Linked DNA regions of Drosophila melanogaster. The protein of the gene in region 3 interacts with the protein of the main gene of each other region in a pairwise test. Each region holds a gene or a part of one and is shown on either strand. Other genes may lie near its edges.

Region 1 (3,318 bases), 1.6 Mb from region 3:
GCCATAAATTGGTTATTTAAATGACGACAATCAAAAGTTGTAAAACGCTTAAACCGATTAGAAACAATAGAGATAGCAAATTTTAAGTGCACATGCAGTGCATAAACGGGAACTCAAAGGAATTTCAAACTAAACTATCAGTGAGGAAGTTAAACCATTAGCAAAAAAAAAATGTTCCAGCAAATGAACTAAAAAAATTTGAATATTTAAATAAATGGCATACATAACTTTAATTTTTAGTAATACAAAAGCGTGTAAATGGAATAGACAGAGATTTTACATGTCATTCGCAGCCATGTCACAGATATGTCACCCGACTTTAGTATGCAAACGCTGTAACTGGCTTACCATGGGCTTGCCGCCCCTGTGCCCCGCCAGAATTGAAGGCCCCACCCGGCAGCCAACCCCTGTGGACTGACCCAGATTGCATGAGCCAAACGAGCGGCGTGGCCCACAGGAAGGGCACGTCCTGCTGCCGCATGTATGGCTCTGGGGACTGGATTCAGAAGTCACTGCTGTTGAGCAGTAAATGAGCGGAAGCAGCAGTTGAAATAAAAGCCCTGCCAGCTGCAGTTTAACTATACGTACTATGAGTGCGATTTTATTGTGCTTAACTAAAGCTAGACAGTCTTCTGGGCCTGAAGGACCCAATCTCTCAGTTCGGCAATGTTGGCATACACGCCGGGATAATTGGCGACGGCGCAATCTCGTCCCCAGGAGACGACGCCCACCAGTTGGCCTCCGGATACCAGAGGTCCACCAGAATCACCCTGGCATGCATCCTTGTTCGTCGCCGCTGCACAGATCATGGTTGCTTTGATGAAGGAACCATATCCGTAAGTGGAACTGCCACACTGCGAACGGCCCACAATTCTCGTGTCCACAAAGAGCAGCGTCGCTGACGAGGGGCCATCGGTGGAGGTCTTGCCCCAGCCTGAGATGCTAGCTGCTGATCCGTGAGCCGGCGTCGCACTGGCCATCGTAATGGCCTTGATGGTCGAGCCAAAGGTCAGCTTAGTCTTCAGACGCACCACTCCAATGTCGTTAATCTTGCTGTTGGAGTTGTATGCCTCATGTGCCTTGATGGCAGCCACCTCGACGAGAACGCCACCATAGGTTCGCTTATTGGAGCCAGCCCTTATCCGGAGATTGGAGACCGTGGTCGGAGTGTCCAGGCAATGGGCGGCGGTCACGATGATGTTGTTGCTGATGATGGATCCACCGCAGAAATGACTTCCGGAACGCTGCAGAGAAACCTGCCAGGGACGATCCTCAATGGAAGAGGCTGTGCCTCCAACAATCCGGCCACCTAGCGATGATGTTTGTGGTTCCAGGCCAATGGGAATGACTGCGCCATTCGTGAGGGCCAGCAGGGCTAAGAAAGTTGCTATTAGTAGGGACATGTTTGCGGTTCAACCTTGGATGGCTAACTAACTGCGATGGGTGGCCTTTTATAGCCACAGATTGGGCATTGCCCGCGTGCGGATAAGGTTGTCAAATGACACGGCCATATTTCATTCGTATCAATCGCTGATTACCCAAAAGGCCCATCATCCGGCAATTGTCTCCAGGTGCTGGCAGGAGAATATGGGTGCTTTTAATTACCGACTGGTTATTGATTAGTTAGCCGTGAGATAGGTGGGATAGGTCAGTTGCTGGGCTTAGACTTATCGTAGGAATGCTTGTTTTGACGTCTTAATCTGGCTATAATCCATTCTCTGTTCTCTCCAGCTATTGACTGGGCCTTACCAATTGTAAATATTTCAAATACAGATTACTTCTTCCGTTCGGTGCGCAAAAAGCGTTGTAAATTGCATGACCACTTACGTGCTTTGAATGAGCATGAAGGCCAAAATAGACGTAACCACTCTGCACTAGCTTATGCTTTTAATATACGAACAAAAAATATAGAAATGTAGGTACAAATCATGAATAACTCATTGGTCATTTGCTCGACTTCGTTCCCCATCGCAGGACACGGAAAATGCATTAAAAACAACGGACAAGTCCACATCCGCTTCGCTGGCAGGACTCGGGCTCTCGTTTATTTGCCAATTAGGTTAAAAGTGTCACGTTCAGTTTAACAACTTCCGCCAGCGTTTCGTTCCTGTTCAGTATTGGTTCTTCAATATGGGCAATGTGGGTGGGCCGGAGTCATAAATTGGCCTAGTGCTTTGTAAAGCAAGTTTTCGACTCGGTCGGCATGCTCTGGCGCTGAAAAGCCCACAGACCGTATCAATGGGGAATTCATGTCTGTGGTGTTTCAGTACCTACCAAGTCGTTGTCGGACATAAGGCGCCTCTTCCAGCTGGTCAAAGTTTCCGAGTAGGTATAATACTCCACCATCCGGTTGAAGGTTACATGCTTCTTTGTCTTCGAGGACTCCTTACCGATGCCATCACCTGCTCCGTCCAATTCGATATCCTTCATGATTAGAATGGGCTTGAGCAACGAGCTCGATGGCTGCTCTTCCGACATGGCTTATATTGATATAAAAATATACAACTTTTTTAACCTGACTGAAATCTGGATTCAGGGATTGATAAGAACTAAATTTGACACTATATGTTTCAATGCTACTACGATAGTTTTCGTTTTTCGTTTTTCGTTTTCCTGCTAAAAATATGTCACGAATTTATATATTAATTTAATACAATGGCAAATGTATTTGTTACCATTTTATTTATTGGTCACGTATTTATATAGGTGAACCCAAAAGAGAGATCTTTCAAAAGTATACGCAAATATATATTTGATTATTTATTAATTTTGCATTGTTTGTCAAATCATTGCTAATTTCTGTGGGCTTAAAAAAATATTTGTCAGAAGTGGGATTCGAACCCACGCCCTCAAAGAGGACCAGAACGCTCATTCACAAACACTTTCGTTCAGAAAGTAAGATTTTCAATCTTGAGTCTGGCGCCTTAGACCGCTCGGCCATCCTGACACTTGATTCCGCAAACGCCCAAAATCTAGTGTCATAAAAGTATATACAAAATGGGGCGTTGAACCAATAAATTAGGATGTTCTCTGTTTGCCATTATATTGTCTAAAAGCATTTTCAACTCGTTGCGAAGATAAGATCGTTCAATAAACCGTTTAGCTTGATTGCCAAAGCAAATTAAGATACCTCACACGCGGAGAAGTTGGTCGGCTAAAGGGACGGGAAATTCAATCATCCTTGATGGTAAATTGAATTGACATTTCACTCAGCCGCCTTGCGAGAAATAGACCACGTTAGATCATCCTTGTCGGCTTTATGTGACATCATCGCAGGATACTCACTGTCCTAGCATGCACGGCATGAGATAACATTAG
Region 2 (5,122 bases), on a different chromosome or scaffold from region 3:
ACGGTCTTTCGAAAGTATATGCCACAAGTCTATTTGTGGTATTTAAAACCGTGGTATTTTTAGTTTAGTATGCTTTCTGCCATATCACGTCTTACAAGAAAATACGATGGAATTCGGGCTCATCCACTCCGCACAATGGGCATACCCTGCCAGTGTCGACAGCTCTCTTAATGCACGCTTTGCAGAAAACGTGGCCACAATTGGTGGACACTGGTAGCTTCTCGCGGACATCTTCCAGGCACACAGGGCAGTTGTAGGGCAAGACAGATTTCTTGGACTCCTCGTCATCTGATTTGATCCGTTTGTTGGGAGGAGAATCCTCGTTTGAATCTGAGGATTCTGTATGTCCCATTGGTGTTGATGATTCGGTGGAGCTCATACTGCTATCGAAGCTAATGCTGGTCGATGAGCTTTCACTATCACTGGAACTAGACGACTCTGAGTCGCTGGAATACTCCAACTGCACAACAAAGTTAAAGCTATTAAAACCTATGGATTCCGGATCGAGATGAACGAACAAGAACTTACCAGGAATGGGGTTCTGTCGATAGATCTGCTGCTGCTTGAGGAGTCCGAGTCTCCGTAATACTCATTTGGATTCCGCTCCTATTAAATGATGTTGTAATGTAACCAATGGATTCTGGGTGGGACCTGGCTAGAACAATAACTTACAGAGGAACCGCTGAGTAAGCGGGATCTTAATCCGGAGGGCGCGAGTACGGGAGTGGGCCCGGTGTTATGGATTCGCTGTGATACTCCAGAATTATTCGAGGTCCTGAAGTTTTCCATTTGAAGTCCCACCTATTCCATAAAGTGTATTATCAATAGATTTCAGAGCTGGGTGAACATGAACTTACCAGGTAACTGAGGCGAGAGCTCAAATGTGAACGGTTTCTGGAAAAGGGTAAGGAAATAACCCTAGTGTTCTGCTCCCATTCAGTAGAAGAGTCTGAGTCGCTGGAATCACCCATTTGAAATCGCACCTGTTTTTGCAGTTTTAATACTACCAATGAATTCTGCCTTGGAACTTACAACTTTTTACAAATTCAGTTGAACCCGTTTCCTTGCTTTTTATTTGCAAATTTACAAGAAAGCTGTTTGAACATATGTCAAAAAATCTTGAAAGTTCCAGGACACAATACCAGTATTTTAAGTGCCAAAGGTCACACTGCGATAAAAAGTACCATTTCAACGCGCCAACAATCATTGTCCGATTTCCATGATTTCCAAATTGGATATTTGCTTAGGATTGTCACCCTAAGAAGTACTATTTATACCAGGTACTCGTGGAGTAAAAGGGTACACTAGATTCGTTGAAACAAATAGAAGGAATTTCCATTTAATTAAGATACAAAACCGAGTAGATCTGGCTATGTTCGCCTGTCTTGCCGGCCGTATGAAAGAATCATAGGAACTATAAAAGCAAGAAGGTTGTGATTAAGCGGACAGATTCTAGAGACATAGACGCAGCACAGATTTTTTGGCCCTGTTGCCACGCCCACTCTAACGACAAACCGCCCAAATCAAATTTGTTTATAATTTTATTAGTCTTGTTAATTCTTATCGATTAGACACAAAACTTTTTGCCATGCCCACTCTAACGCCCAGACTTTAGAACAATTTTTAAATGTTTTCACATTCATCGATATCCCAGAAAAATGATCGAATTTCGCGTTCGTATTCCCACTAGCTGAGTAAGGGGCATCTAAAAGTTAGGGAACTCGACTATAGCATTCTCTCATGTTTGTATCTTAAATGGTTAACATAAAATTAAAAAATATGCTAACAGAAGTAACTCCCTACAACGAAAGAAATTCAAAGATCGAAAGTCCGGACTCAACAACATAGAATTCCCGAAGTCACACACGAACTTGCAACATGTTGCAAGTGCCGCTCGGACTGTCTCGAGCCGTTGGAAGCTCCAGCCGCGTTCTCGACTTCCGATTTAACTTTCAGCGCGCTTTCGGCCGACTTCAGTGTACGTTTGGCTCGCGCAGAGTGCGGATTGCAGTTCGATTCGGCTTAATCAGCCCAGTGATTTTAGCGTATTTCATCCGTAGGATTGCTCTGCCGCAGATCTGGCCGATAAGACTTGGCAACACATCAGGACCCAATCCTGGAGGCCCTAACCGTAATTAAATTATCGGGCGAGTTAATTGGCAGCCCGAGAGTTGCGAAAGTCGTAATGACGGTGCCATTCATCTGGCATTTAGCTTGATTCCCGTTCGCCGATCGCTTTGCCGTGCTAAAGTCTGTAATATTTGGTTAGTGCGGGTTGCCAAAAAGTTAAACAGAACAGAAAGTACGGTTCATTTGCTAAATACACGGGACCATTCAAATATCCCGACACAATTTAAGAGTGTGTGTGGGCGTGTGTTTGTGTATGTGCGCTCAGTGAGTGAGATGTGTGGCAAGTTTCATTTATTGGCAGCCAGCAACTGATTTGAATATTCACTCGCACACTCATACCCGAAAGGATCTGCGCTGCCAAAATACTAGACCAGATTGTGGCTCCTGTGTCGCCCGTGCATAAGTGTGTGTGCAGTATGATTTATAGGTCCTGCAGCAGGCGTGATGTAAAGTGACAATTTCTGGTAATTTTCGATTTACATGCCGTTGTGCATTGGGTAAGTTTGACGAAGGATCCCTGGATTTTGTTTACTTTGTTTTTATAACATTACCTGGAATTAATTTTATGCGTAATTTATTGCTGCGAAAAAGAGAAGAAAGAGGTCAAACCTGATTCAGTACCTTCCATAATAATAACTTTATAATATATCATTTGATAATAAATTTCAAACTGTTATTTTTGGGAAGAAAAGGGTTGGATGGGGCAGACTTATTATATTTATTTTTAAATTTCCACGTGTCATGTTAAAAAACTATGGATGGAAAACCATATTTATTTGCTCAAAATGAATAAATTTACCTTATCTTATCCTTGTCTATTTTTTTTTTGTATTTAATTTCCATATTTAAAGTTATAAAAATATGATCTAAATGTTAATAAATATGAATTTACATGATTCTATACAGTTCTACCAAAGTACAACTACCAAAAGCATTTTATAAATCGATTGAAAAACGTTCCCATTGGCCACGCATATTGTTGTTTATCTTTATATTTCCAAGGCACACGAGTAGTTACCTCTGAGCTAAGATTGATTTACACCTGCTCGGATGTCTTGCCAATCAGAAACCGCAAGACAAACACTACCTGCGCACTCGCGAACATATCAGATCGCGTATACTTCCGCTCTTAGAGGGTTTCGCTTAAAACGGTTTCCGCGAAAAAATTAACTTTCCTAGAATCTGAAAATACGTCCCTGAATAGCTGAGTAGAATAAATCAATGAGTAATTACAGAAGTGTTATTGATTTTGGGCTCCTTTCTCTCGAGCATAAATTAGAGCCAATAAATATCGCGACATTAGGGAAATTTTATCGGTTTCGGATGGCCGAAGATTATATTAATGGGTGCCATTAATATTTAATCCTCGACAACAGGTTTCACCAGCGTTAAGGACACAGAGAACGCCAAAGAAATAAAACCATCCATCCCATTATTTGGCAGAAGGAGAATTGGAAACTTTTGCAAACAGCACCTGTGTCTAAGGAATTTTTAATAAAATCTCCTGAAAAAGTGGTAAACTCAACAAAGCCATTCGTCATGCTCAAGTAACTTGGGTTTTAGACTTTTGGGGTTTTTCCCTTTCGCATGCTTTTTCTTGCTGGTCAGCGAACCAGTTTGGCATCATAATTATGCAACCAGGCATGCAGCTGAGGACACTGTCGGCTGCCAAAGGGTTGAAAGGAACCCTTTCTTTCTTTATACATTTAAATTTGGGTCACTTACGGCCGAAGCAAATTGTAATTAAAATATGAATTTTCCATGCAGCCATATAACAATTCACTTTTAATTTTAATCATTAAATCCCAAAAAAAAAAAAAAAACACTTTTATTTTGAACAAAGCGCAACTCTTTTTTCACTTTTGCGACGGCCTTGACGGACTTAAAGAGTCCTGACTGTGGAAAATAATCATCATCAGCCGCAGGATTTCAAACCACCATCATTATCGTCTGCTGGTCTGGTTTGCATAATTTCATACATAAACTGTCGCTTTTTGTGCGCATAATCTGCAGCTTTTAAACAAAAAAAAAAAAAAAATAGGCAAAAAATATTAAATAAAACGCAGTGTCGGCGGAAAGGTGTCATATACTCCAAAAATTGGGTGTTCTAAATGTTCGAGAAATGAAGCGCTGAAAAGTTGGTCGCGTTACGCATCCGCCATGTTGCGCGGCGCCAAGTGGTGAGGATTACGCCGGGGTTCCCATATACTTAATGACATGCAGCTGCTGTTTTACTTGCGGTTTCTCCCTGGAGCCCCCAGGAACCTTTAGTAAATTTTGCTGTCTTGTCCCCCTCCGGACTAACTTATGAATTTTAAGGTGATTTCCATGTCGCAGGACCAAGTTCAGGAAACTTTGGATTGGGGGTCCTTTGGGAATATGGGATGAGTGCCACGTCACATCGGGGACTTGTCAGCAAAGGGTTGATCGCATCATAAATCAAACGAACTGTTAGCCCAGTTCGCAATCAAAATCATTCTGCGGTCTGCAGCATTTGTTCCTCAGAATGTGGTAATTAATCATCGAAAGTAATTGGTTTTCTGTTTTGATTTGACATTTGAAAAATTGCAGCTGTGACAATTCAATCCCAGTTCCAGTTTATTTGCCTAGCGCCATTTACTTCGCTGGTTTTTCAGTGCAAAATGCTGCAAAATAAACGCAAAAGTTTATTATACTTTGGTTTTTGCCGAAGTGAAATGGTGACCTATGCAAATTTATGAATGCAAATTAAATATAAACGAACGCATAAATGCGGCTTAAAAATATTGCCACGCAATATTGGCAAACAATGGGATTAACTGGACAAAAAATGGTAGGGAGTGTCCTTGAAGTCCATGTTTTTTAGCACGGGTATTCATAGGCTAAATTGCCAATATGGCCGCAACTCTGGCTTTAACGGAATTATGTCGCTAATTTAATGATGGCAAATGTATTGTTTTGTCGTTGGCCCCACTGAGATTGGTTTATGGGCGCAACCGTTTATACAACTTTG
Region 3 (4,881 bases):
CAAAAACAGCTGATGATAGTCAGATGTTAGAATTATAGAGAAGGACCGATTATTATTAAGCTTATACTGAACAATCGATATATTGATAGGCTTATACAAATGCGCTAAAATTTAAAATTCGAAAATTTAATAAAAATAAATAATAATTTATATACGTATAATCGAAGACTTTTTTATAGTGTCTGAACTTAATTTGTATATTCTTAAAAATAACTTTACCTTTCATTATTATAGTTTACTAACTTTCAATTAGTTTAATTGGTTTTCCTACATGAAATTAATGTTGTTTGTAGTACAATTCACCTGTTATTAAAGTGATCAATTATTATAGGGCAAAGGAAAACAATTTGTAGCGAAAGCCAACAGCAATTTATGTTAAAATCTCATTTCATCAACCGCCACTAATGAGTCAGTCGCAGAAATAAACTAAATTGTTGTAATGTCCTAACAAACTTATGTTTTTGCGCATTGATGCGGCGTGGGAACGAACGAAGTGACATCCAACACTAAATTTATCTGGCTCGTGTTCAAATCAAATTAAATTCTCGGCATTAAATGCCACATTTATCTACATGAGCACATTGTTTGATTGGCACGCCAGCTGCTCTGCCCCTGTTTCTTCTCTGATTGTGATGTTCTACTTAAACGATTCAATTGTTTCTTCGACCATTCCGTTTATTTACCATCAGGTACCAGACTCGCCAAGGGATTGGTACTATCTCCTGATAGTTGGTACTTGGCGTCGGCTAGTGGTAAGTTCTCCCCCAAGTACCGGGTTTCTTGATAGAATTGCCAACTGTTTTCCAAGCCAAGTGCCATGGTCACGTCTAGTGACCAATAACTCTGCTGGCCAGCAGTTGGGCCCTATGGAGAATGTGAATCAACCAGGTTAGATATTATATCTAATATATATTTCAGTGTTATTAGAAGTAGAGTCAAACCGTCTGTTTTTACGCGGAGAATATTTATATAAAAAAAACCATAAAAACTTAAAAAGATATTGTAAGTTAGAAATATTTTTAAAGTATCTTTAAGTTTACAATATATCTTAAAGTTTAAAGTTTACACTTTAAATTAGGTGGAAATATCCTACAAATTATACTTTACGTATTTCATATACTTTGAAATTTATTTAAGTTTAATTTTGGCATAGAATTTAGCCAATCGGATGATCAATATCGATTTAATTTATCCTCGGCACGCCATTTTCGACCTTTCTGGCTGTCAAAATGCATTTTCTCCTCGCGTTACTTAAGATGCTCCCCATTAATTTCCCACAGCCGTTTCTCTGATCTCTGACCAAGTGCGTTTGTCTCCGCCGGCGCACAAGTATTTTGTGCAAATTAAACAAAAATTGAACATAACATAAATATCCGATGCAGAACAAAACGAAGGCAGGTGAAGCGGTGAGATTTATTTTTAACTGCCCAATGCGCCTACATATAGCAAATTATGCAAAAGAATCTCGCGCTGCAGCCGAGTGCAATTTCGTTTTCGTTTTCATCTGCCAGAGATGCCAGCGTCTGCGCCGCTCTCTTGAGTCATTGCACTGCGAGAAAATACGCGTAAGTTATTGAAACTTTTTTGGGTAAGGAAAGATCATCAATTTGATATTGCATTTTTTTTAAAGTATATTTGTTAATTGAAAATAAGATAAATATGACACGCTGTTTAATTAAACTTTTCTTAAACCATCAAATCATATTAAAAAACCGTATGAATTCTGAAATTATCACTGCAAAATGAATAAATATTCTACTTCAAATTTTGCTAGCCTGTACAAACTTAGAAAAAACTCGTAGCAGATCTACGGTTATCTAAGTTATTGAAAGTATATAATTTTTCGCTGTGCGGCTGATGTTTTGGTCCCATTGGGGGTGGGCGCTACGTCATCACATCAGACCCACAGCTGCGCCACAACGATGACGAAGGAACGAAGGCAACAACACCGAGCCAGCGAGGCAGCGACTCAGCAGCAGAGAAGCAGCAAAAGCAGCAAAAGCAGCAGAGAAGCAGCAAAAGCAAGTAAAATCCACATGCCACCGGACGGCTGGCTCAAATGTTCATGAAACGCGAACGCGTGTGGACGTGGATGTGCGCGGTACCGCTTCGAAAAAAAAATTTGTGAACGCGAATCGGTATATTCGGTTTGGTCGGATTAAACGGTTGATTCGAAACGAATTCTCGGGCCGTGCATGTGTGAAAGTGAAAACTGAAGAAAGAGGAATGAAAATGAGCACGGTGCATGAGTTTCCTTGACGTTCGTTGCTTCGGAAAATCCATCGCAAGAAAACTGAAAAGAGCGTGCGAAAGCAGAAAGGCCAATTGTGAGTGAGAGCTGAAAAGCACACACGCCAAAAATATAATGTTGAAAATATCTGGCTATTTTTGGAATATATATTTGTTTCTTCCACACGATGCATTGAAAAATTTGTACCTCAAGTGAAGCAATACACAAAAAACCTCGAGAAATGATAATGCTTAAAAAATACGAGATATACGCTTTAACTTGACTTGCATTTTATTTTCGAAAAGCTTTCGAAAGCAAAACAAAGCCATCAGAAAAATAAGAGTACGAAAAAAAGAAGAACGAAATGAATCCAAGGCAAAAGAACAGCCAGAGTGAAATGTTTTTAATGGGCAATCAAAAATAATGAAATCGGGTAGATATATCTGGCAGAACGAGGCAAGAACGCATTTAAGATGAACAATGGAGATACATTTAATGAAATTTAAGGGACTCAATGAGGGATTGAATTCAGATCTATAGCTAAAACATTTCCGGAAATACCCATTGCTCAACTTTGGATACACAAAATATTCCCTTCAGATTCGGAATAGTTTCCTTCTAGGTGCACAGCTGAAAATGAAATATAGTTCTGTTTACATTCTTAAACTAAACTTTAAAGCTATGCAAACTCGTAATGGAAATGTGCTTTGAAATCCCGCCGCTTGAAACCACATCAATATAGCGATATATTTTTTTCTGTGTAACTACATTTTCGTCTTTTCTGTCTGATTTCCTCCGAAAGAACAACAAATACAGGCCACACTATGCATATATCCGCTGTGTTCTTGTTGTGCTGCCTTTATATTTTGTATTTGAATTTGTAGTCTTGTGTCATGCGATAGGTGGTAACGTTTCGTTCCGAACGGGGTATTGAATTACAAGACACCAAAGTGCGCGCCAAGCGAACACGCTCGCTCACAGATACTCACACACACGCACACACACGATAAACACACATGCAGAGCGAGGTGTATAAATATATCGCAGTCCGATTCTGCCGCATGCGTATCCAATGGATGCGAATCGGCCTGCAAAGCGGAGGGCACAAGGAAATATCCGAAAAAGAACTATGAATCGCTGTAATTAATTGTTTTGGGGGCAGAGCAGTTGGATCCATTGATTGATGGAGCCAAAGTTCATTTGTTTACAGTGGCAAGATCAATGACTCGGCGCCCTATTAATATGTACATCCCCCTCAAAAAAAAAAAAAGAAAACCAAAAAAGTATCTGGCTGGCTCCACTCTGACCCCTGGTCTCTCTTGTGTTCCAGTTTCACCCGAAAGTTATATACCGCATCCAGTTGAAATGTCCGCCAAGACGTCGCCATCGTCCACTTCTCGGGATGCCAACGTGGGATCCTCGAGTGCGATTCCCGTTCAGATCAAAAAAGAACTGCCCAGCGATGAGATAAAGGTGAGTGAATGTATGAATGAACACTTTGAGATACTTTCTTGCCGTCTAATTAATTGCCCCTGTCTGCGCATTATTTCGCCGCGTATTCAATAACAAGGATGCTGACAAAGTTTGCGTTGGATTTAAAAATAAGAACGTTCTTCTTTGCTCTTGGCAAAACATTTGGCTTCTATAGCTGCGAGCTGCATATACGCAGAATAATTATTATTTGTTTGTTTCCGAGTGTTTGGATGGGGGAAAGGTGAATAACACCCACTCGCCAGTTGCGCGTCTATATCTTGGAGTCTATATCTTAGAGTGGCTTTGAAGTGGATCTCGTATCTCGTAGTTGCCATGGAAATATCTATAAAAATGTGTGCTCATGATATACGTAACTACCTTTGCCGCAGAACACATATTTCCATTTCATCCTTAGCGAACGCAAAAATATTTAGTAAACTGCATGTTGCTCATACATAGTTTCCACTTACAAGCTCGAATCCAGCGATTCCAGCCAAAGAGCACTTCCAACTAAGCGCTGAAATCAAAGAATCCGACTCCAAATCCCTCGGCCAGAGAACCAAAAATCGTTTCGGCTTTCAGTTCAGCGCAGTTCAGTGCAGTTCAGTTCGTCTCAGTTGACTGTTGGGCTATTTGGAAATGTTTATGCAAGAGCCAATGATAATGCAACGCCCCGCTACCGCCCCCGCTCAAAAGTGCTACATTAAATTCCATGCAACTTTGTATCTGAATCCGCGTCCGGAATTTGAAAGAGGAGTTGCTAGCGGTCGCTGCAGCTGAGGAGACTCGGATTCAGATTCAGATTCGGATTCGGATTCCGATTGCCATTGTGATTACGCGATTACGGGACGAGCTCGTAAGTCGAGCGGGAGTTGGCGGTAATTTTATATTGATAAGTTTTTATAATCATTTTAACGAGTGAGCGGGTCCGATTCCGATTCGGAATCCATCCGCTCCTCTCTGTCCGCAGTCCCTTACGCTTCTGCTCCATCCGGCAAATGAGCGAAATTAATTTAATGCCACAGACAGGGACAGAGAGTCGCAGAGCAACATTTTTGCAGCACGTGTAACCCGATCGGCGAATGGAAATCATACCCCCCGACTTGCAGTTGGGCGCAATGATACTTATTGTCGGTCATGAGGGGGGAGGGAAACCAACAGCAAACACAAAAACAAAG

The links.
Region 1: the proteins of Sobp (region 3) and Ser8 interact in a two-hybrid assay, tested with the Drosophila melanogaster proteins (one large-scale study listed by BioGRID).
Region 2: the proteins of Sobp (region 3) and rdo interact in a two-hybrid assay, tested with the Drosophila melanogaster proteins (one large-scale study listed by BioGRID).

What each region holds. Positions count from the first base shown.
Region 1 is NT_033778.4:13,432,297-13,435,614, reverse strand, and holds Ser8 (Ser8), read right to left. Parts: upstream 1,409-3,318; 5' UTR 1,404-1,408; coding exon 621-1,403; 3' UTR 570-620; downstream 1-569. Other genes in the region: CG30065 (uncharacterized protein), read right to left, coding at 2,167-2,214, 2,275-2,478.
Region 2 is NT_033779.5:18,010,406-18,015,527, forward strand, and holds the start of rdo (reduced ocelli), read left to right. Parts: upstream 1-1,974; 5' UTR 1,975-2,627; intron 2,628-5,122. Other genes in the region: elfless, read right to left, coding at 92-460, 529-606, 673-801, 858-971.
Region 3 is NT_033778.4:11,836,718-11,841,598, reverse strand, and holds the start of Sobp (sine oculis-binding protein), read left to right. Parts: upstream 1-1,773; 5' UTR 1,774-2,245; coding exon 2,246-2,327; intron 2,328-3,560; coding exon 3,561-3,703; intron 3,704-4,881.